Linked DNA regions of Notamacropus eugenii. The protein of the gene in region 2 interacts with the protein of the main gene of each other region in a pairwise test. Links are inferred from orthologs where the notes say so. Each region holds a gene or a part of one and is shown on either strand. Other genes may lie near its edges.

Region 1 (3,915 bases), on a different chromosome or scaffold from region 2:
TATTAGATTTGTGATCCTGGGCAAGTCACCTGATATTTCTGTACCTCAGTTTGCTCATCTGTAAAATGAGAGGATTGTACTTCATTGCCTCAAAGGTCTCCACAGGTCTAAAATCTATGATTCTACTTAAACTATCCATGTTTCAATTTCTTCATCTTCAAATCCAGAAGAGGGGAGTAGATTAGATGAGTTCTAAGGATCTCTTAAACTCTAAATTCCTATGATTTCATAACAATAATAATGTACTTGTGCAGCATTTTATTGTTTATAAGGTATCATTTCATTTTATTTCAGCATCACCCCAACTCTATGTATTAGGCAAAAGTGTTATCCCCAACAATCTATGTCAGTAAGAGTTAGCAACAGAGAAGAGTTAGAAAATGAATACTTTGATTATTAGTATTAGCCTGTGTTTAGCATTTGTCTATAGTGCTATGTCAATTCTCAAAGATCACACTCAAGTATTAGTGTATAAAAATATATCTATAAACTTTAATTTGAAGAAATACAAATACACAGTACTAGTAGAAATTTAGTTGCTGTGCTAGGCCCCAGGGATATGAAGTCTTCAGAGTGTGAGTGACTGATACTTCTCTCCTTGTGCTGAGAGCCAGGACATCTGTGATCAGATACTCACTCTTCCTAGGTCCTGTGACCCAGACCTTGGCACAGAAAGTGGGGACATGAACACCAACTGGAACAGCCTTTATTTTTTCTCCTGGGGAGTTCAGGAGAGAATGGGATGAAAAAGCTGGAGTTTGTGACACCTGTGGCTATTGTTTTTATATCCAACGCATGTTTGTTTTACCATTTTAAGTGCTTTTTTCTATAGTAATGACATTGATAGAGGTGATTTTACCAAGCACATTTAAGGAGCGTAAAGGAAAAGGTGTGGCTAAGGGGGAGCGATGGGCACGACAAAGGATTTGATTGGTGGAGACACAAACACCCCCTTTCTAAAGGACAGAACTCGGCATCACTCATGCAGAAGGTGGGCCTAAGGAGTGATAGGCAACTTGCTGTCCTGAGAACCTGACAGAGGAGGATAGCAGCTGGACTTAACTGACACAGTGCCTTCTTGTATCCAGTGATGGTCATTACACAGTAACAGCAGTATAAGCAGCATCCTTAATTAATGAATATGATCATTCTTCCCCTATCAGGCATAATTAGTTCTTGTTAGACTGCTAGCTCCAACACCCACCTCCCACCCCCAGCTTGTTAGCGTTCTCTCTGTCCTCGCATTATTACCTTTACAGTAGCTGGATACACGATGAATTCCTCTTCTTACCCCGCCCCCAATTCAACAGAATGTAACAGGGGAGTTTTCATTTGTGTCTTTGTAACTCCAAGATCTAGGAAAGTATCTTGCACGCTTAAATTGATCTGAACATTTTAAAGTGCGTGTGCTTGCCGCAGGTCACCGGCAAGTCCCTGACAGAGCTGAATGAACCCCAGCCTCAGCATCAGAAGTTCATGGAATGCAAATGAATGCTCCCCTCCTTCTTCCCAGCGACTTTTAAAAGGTCGGATTTAGCTGCATGTTTTTACTTACTTATAACAACAAACACGCAAAAAATCCTCGTTAGGTACAGCAGCCTGGGGGATTTCCCTACTATCTTCTAATCTGGACCGTCTTCCCTAACCTGAAAAGTGACCTTGCCCCTCCACACCCTTCTCCCTCCTGTTATCTGGGCATCTATACCCCCCGCAGGCCCAGGTTTACTCCTCGCTAAATTCTTACCCCACCCTCTGAATTCTCCTGAGCCCTCCAGCGCCAGTGAGATCGTTCTTACTCCACAGGTATACGCAATACGCTGTCACGGTATTTCGCGATTAAAAAACAAAAACAAAAGCACCTTTTCCTTGCGTGGCGCTTTACAGCGTACGCTTTGCGTACGCTCTCCATTTGGATCACCCCCATTTATTTTACAGAGGTGGAAAGTGAGGAGGTCCCGTGGGGACCGAAGGCGAGGAGGGGTTGGGGGTGAATCCCGCCACGCCACGGAGGAAAAGTGAAGCACCCCACAATTCTGCAGCCTCAGACTCAGAGGCGTGCGGTGTCCAGGCTCAAATACGACAGTGATTGCACACACAAGTTTTGACGGGGGTGGGGGTGGGGGAATATTGAAAGGGGGGGAGAAGACAGACATTACAGTTGGAAATTTATTGCATATTCAATTAGTTTCTGCCACACTGGAAGGATTTGCTTATGTGTTCGTTCTTCTGCTGCAGTCCCTTGGGGTTCAATCGCCCGGGACCTGCTCCCCGGGGCGGAGGAGAGGCGGGGGCGCGTTGGGGGCTCGGAGAGAAGGCGCGGTGGATGGAGCTCCAGCGGTTGGCAAAGCAGAGGCGCGGATCCCGACAGAAGGGGAGCTTCTGCTCGTCCCAGCGCAGGCGGTGGCGGCGAGGGAGCCTGCACGCACGCACACGCCTGGCTGCCCCGCGAGTGGGCTACCCGACGCGGTGCCAGGCTCAGCCGCGGAGCGCGGGCGTGCGGGCGACTGGCTCGACGCTTCCCCCGTGGCGGGGCTGGAGAGAGCCAGAAAGAGGGAGGTTTAGACGGGGGCGGGGTGGGGGGTGAAGTCCGCTCCGTGACTATGGGGTCCCAGGAAGACGTGGGCAATAAGAGAGGGTAGGTAACTCACTCCTTACCTTCTTTCCTGGAGACAGAGTGGGATCCCGGGCAAAGAGCGCCTGCCCCAGCCCAGATCCGCACGATCAAGTTCAAGCAGCCACCATTCCGGAGATTAAAGAGGAAAACCCTTCTTGCGGTCCCCCCTCCCCCTCCACCCTGGCTATTCCTACAGGCCCCTGCCCCTTCCTCCTCTCCTTTTCACTATCTCCCTCCCTTCTCAGTCCTGCCTCTGCTGTCTGTGCTTGCTCTCCCACCAGTTCCCTCCCAGTCTCCACTCTCCTCCCAGTGGGAATGGCAAACGCGGTAGCAGCTCTCCCTCTACTGTTTCTCTCTAAAGGCGGTATCCCTTCTTTTTCCTTCTGTCCCCACCCCACCCCCTAGCCTCCAGCACACACACAGATAGCCTCAGACACGATTTAGGAAGGTATGCAGGGTATGCATACCTTTGTTAACTCTTCTGGGCCTGGGCAAGTTGGATATTGGACGGTTATCCTAATTAGTCAGCTAGTCTAGGCTGCAATGGGGGACTGGGGGGATGGGGGTAGCGCTTTAAAACCCAATTACCATAATACCCTCTTCCTATCTTTCTGGAACATATACATATTGGGGGCTGAAGGAGGAAAATTTGATTTGGTATTTAGTATTTATGATGGTGGTGGGGTAGGGGGAGAAGGTATCAGTGCATTTTTCTAAAAATCTTCAGAAATGACGTTTAAACAAAGTTTAATCAAAAATGAGTTTAAATGGACCCACGTATTCATTCATTCAAATGAATTTAAATTTAAATGAATTTAAACCACAATACAAGTCACTGAGACTACAGAGATGAGTAAGATATTGCTCCTGCTCTTACCTTAAAGTTATCTGATCTTGGGCTAGCTTCAGAAAGTATTTATTAAGCCACATAAGGTCTCTTTCCCTGTAAGGTGCCATGCTGCCACCTGTCCGTGTGCAAAAATAATTAATTTAGCGCAAAAATACTACCTCTCTTTTTAGTGTTTTGCAGTTTGGAGAGAAAGAGATGGGGAAGTGTAAGGGAGAGAGTTTTATAGTTCTGCTAATGAACTGGAAATAAAGGGAACTGACCAAAATAGTGGGAAAGATGAGAAAATTGGGAAAGGGATAGGGAAAGAATCACTAATATGCAGGCCCAGCCCTACTTGTTGAAAGCCCAGTGCATGTGTTAATTCCCCTATCCAAAAATACCTTCCCATCAATCCTACTACCATAGGGCTTGGAATTCCTTAAACATTCATTTCTTGAGTTCGGGCTTGTCC
Region 2 (3,915 bases):
CTGAAAAAAGCTGAGATTTTCCAAATGTTCCACAGTAAATGTGAGAGTCAGGATTAGTTTCAAGTTTTCTTCACTCCAGGTGAAGTGGCAGAGGTTACAACCAGCAATAAAAAAGCAAGCTCAAGATAGGCAAGGAGGGTTGAGGTCAACTCCTCTGCCTGAGGACCCTTACTAGCTAAATTCGAACCCTATATCCAGCCTAATGGCATGATGTGGGCCTGGCATAATGGTAGATACACACTTAAAAAACAAAAAGAAACATTGATGATTTTTGATCTGATATAACTTTGGGGAGTTCCTGTGATGTCAGCAGTGTCAGAAATCCCTCTATGAATGAAAATGGCATCTTTTCTGCCGCTCATCATCTCACAAAGTCCCCTCGGGCACGGAGAGATGAAGTGACATTGTAGGGTCACTCAGCCAGAAGATGTCAGAGGAGAGACTTGGACCCAAGTCTTTCCAACTCAGAAACCAGCTCCTTACTCCCTCCATCATTTCTGCCTCTCTCCTTGTATTCCCTTCCTGTTATATCTATCCCTCTCCTTTTTTTTAAAAGTGGAGTTAAGTGACCTGCCCATGATCCCACAGCTAGTAAGTGTCTGAGGCAAGCTGAACTCAAAGTCCTCCGAACTATAGACTGCAGCATCCATCTAGCTGCTCCCCACCCCCACCCCCTTTCCTCCTAATTGAGACATTCCTTGTAACAAAAGATTGAAAAATCAAAGGAAAGGTTTGCCAAAATCAATGAACTTATCTACAATCTGACAGTATCGCAATATTCCATGCCCTTAGACCCCCCGCTTCTCCTAAGGTAAGTGAGGCCCTTGTTAGTCTCAGCTTGGCCGCTGTCTCCAGATTTACGAGCTAGAAGCTCCCCTAAAACTGCTCAGCCCTGCGGGGTCTGGAGAAGGAATGCACCTGTACCCAGGACTCGAGGAGGCGGTGCCATGGGGAGAAGGGGCGGGGCGGGGGCGGGGCATCCAGAAAAACCTCAAAGGGAGGAGAAACCTCAAAGATAAGCCCAGCCAATTCCTTCATTTTACACATAGGGAAGCAGAAGCCCAGAACCAAGATCACCCAGAGAATTCGCCGGAGTCAGAATTTGAACACAGATCTCGACGTCGGTTCCAGGGAAGGTCCGCGAGACCCAAACTACTCGTAAGGCGATCCCGCCGCCACTCACCAGCCCTCGCCCACCCTCCTTGCCTCTCGGTCAGCCAGGAGTCCCCCTGACTCCCCGCACTCCGCATCCCCAGACATGACAGCAAGCAAGCGCGCTGCGAAGGTAAAAGCTCTGGGCTGCGGTGAGCTAGGAGGGGTGAACAGGGTTGCCTGGTCCTGTCGCGCTCACAGAGCCCTCTCCCTCTGACCCAAGGCATCCTCTGCCTACCCTCTCACACCCCATCCTCCCAGGCTCCTGGTCCTCATCTAACCCCACCCTCAGGATTCCCCTTGCCCCCCCCATCCAACCACTGTTGCCTCCCTCTATCCTCCTCCTGGTCTACCTCATCTGTCCGCTGACCCGGACAGACAGAACACTCCCTGGGCGACCTCTGTCCCTTTCCTCCTGAGTCCATCCTTCATCCGGGAAGTGGCATGTGAGGGGGGCAGGGGAGAGGCCACGGGAACTGGTTTTGAGAGGCAGACGTAGAGGGTTTCCTCTGGTCCCCCCGAGGTGCCTCGGGCTTGGACTCCCTATCAGCCTGCTTTGAATCTCTTTCAGTTTCGTTTCCTGGCTACGAATGACCACAGTCCCCAAATGGAAATAATCAGCCAGCGAGTGTTTGTGAAGGGTTTCCTATGTGCCAGGTATCTCACTAAGTGCTGGAGAGACGAAGGAAAGCAAAGGGGGTTGTTGCCTTCAAGTTCCTCACATTCCAATTATATAGAATATCCTTGTTGTTTGTCCTTGGTTTTCGAAAAGGACCGTGACGTTAGGGAAGGGATGCCAAGACGTGCCAGTGAGTTGGATGGAAGTGAGGAAGAGCTGTGAAAAGTCCCCAGGCTCGCTTTCTCGTAGATGGGGGTCAGGGTGTGGTGATGAAGAGCTCTGAATTCCGAACTTGCTCTCTGTGAAGTTGGGGCAAAAGACGTCCTTCCCCTCTCCCGGCTTCAGTTTACTGCATAGATGGGGAGAGCTAGTCTAGATCTTCTCCAGGATTCTTCTAAAGCCTATGACGCTGTGAGTTAAAGTGAGCTGGCTGGGAGGGGGTCGAACTTTGGGAGAGTCACCCTTGGCAGATCCTTAGCGCCCTGGTCTGGTGTGGCACTGTCCACCTTGGGACCAGGACTGCTGGGATGTGGTAGGCAGCGTGGCATCATTGGAACAGTACTGAATTTACCTGTGAGATGATGGTGTTCTCATCTCAGCTTCGATGTTTACTACAAAGGAGGTAGTATATAAGGGTAGCTCTTTGCAAATCTTAAAGGACCGCAGAATTGTTGTTGCGGTTAAGCAGGGCGATAGAGAGCTGACCTCTCAGTCAGGAACACTTGGATTTCCGTCCTCCCTCAGTCACACATTGGATAACACCGAGCAAGTTTCTCAGCCTTTCAGTACATGAGTTCTCAGTGTCTGTGGTCCCTGGACCTTGGACTCTGAGGGTCCCCAAGACCCTTTCAGGGGAACTGAAAGCTCAGAACTTTTTTTCATAAGAATGCTAAGATGTTCTTTGAGTCAGTCTTCCTTTTTTAGCTATGTAGCTGTCCATGCATCTCAAGAGGGATTTTTTCATATATTTAAGCTGAAATACCAGATACAACAGATTGAATGCAGAAGCAGATGTGAGAATACAGCTGTCTTCAATTAAGCCAGTCATTAAAGAAATTTGCAAAAGTATGTAAGACAATACTATTCCTCATTAACATTTTTTGTTTGGAAAATTAGTTATTTTTCATAAAACATGCTATTAACATACTATAGGATTGCTGTTATTTTCATTGAATAAATATTTTTAAATGATTAGTTCTAATTTGTAATATAGTTATTAATAGCTAGAGCCCACATAAATATTTCTTCTTCTTCTTTCTTCTTCTTCTTTCTTCTTCTTCTTTCTTCTTCTTTCTTCTTTCTCTTCCTCCTTCTCCTCCTATAGGAATGAGGTGCCCAGGATCCAGGGTGAAGGTGATCTGAGTTCTCCACTTTCACTTTCTACTCTTCTAAACTGACATTTCCCTGACAATGAAAGACCTCAGGAAAGAACCGAAGAATTTTGGTTTTGAATTTGTTTATTGCAAAGGAACTCTCAAACTTATGGCAAAATAAGGACAAATTTTCCTCCTGTCAGGGACTACCAGGAGGGCTCTCAGTGTTCATGCTTTAAGCCAACGTAGAGCCACAGAATGTCTGAACTAGAAGGGATTTGCAGATGGTCTAGCCACGTTCTATTTTTTCATTTGAGGAAATGAAGAACTTTCTTGATGTCACACAGTGAATTAATGGAAGAGCTAGGACTGTGGATTCATTGGATTTAGAGCTAGAAGACAAGGCAACTGAAGCAAATACAGTTAAGTGACTTGCCCAGACTCACACAGAGAGTAAGGATCTGAGGCTAGATTTGAACTTAGGAAGATGAGTCTTTCTGCCTCCAGGCTCAGCATTCTGTCCACTTCACCCCCTACCTGCCCGCACTTGGCACATAGTGGGCACTTAAATGTTTGTACATTCAAGACAGTTTGGGTGCTGCTTTCTACATGAAGCCCGTCCTGATCTCAGCTGTTAAAGCCCTCTCTCCTTCAATTACCTTGTATTTATTCTCTATATACTTGCTGTATATGTGTACAAGTTGTCTCAACCAATGGGATGGTTGCTTCTTAAGGGCCAGGAGAATGTTGGGTTTTTCCTCTATATCCCAGTGCCTGTTATATTTACATACATTATATATATATAAAAGCATTTATTAAGGACTTACTATG

What was found.
Region 1: the proteins of UBE2L6 (region 2) and RNF144B interact in binary tests that used the Homo sapiens proteins (3 or more experiments, as listed by UniProt). The link is inferred for Notamacropus eugenii from reciprocal best matches to the Homo sapiens genes UBE2L6 and RNF144B.

The regions. Positions count from the first base shown.
Region 1 is NC_092875.1:190,956,540-190,960,454, reverse strand, and holds the start of RNF144B (E3 ubiquitin-protein ligase RNF144B), read right to left. Parts: upstream 2,675-3,915; 5' UTR 2,656-2,674; intron 1-2,655.
Region 2 is NC_092873.1:3,196,278-3,200,192, reverse strand, and holds the start of UBE2L6 (ubiquitin/ISG15-conjugating enzyme E2 L6), read left to right. Parts: upstream 1-981; 5' UTR 982-1,258; coding exon 1,259-1,285; intron 1,286-3,915. UniProt on the Homo sapiens protein: Catalyzes the covalent attachment of ubiquitin or ISG15 to other proteins. Functions in the E6/E6-AP-induced ubiquitination of p53/TP53. Promotes ubiquitination and subsequent proteasomal degradation of FLT3.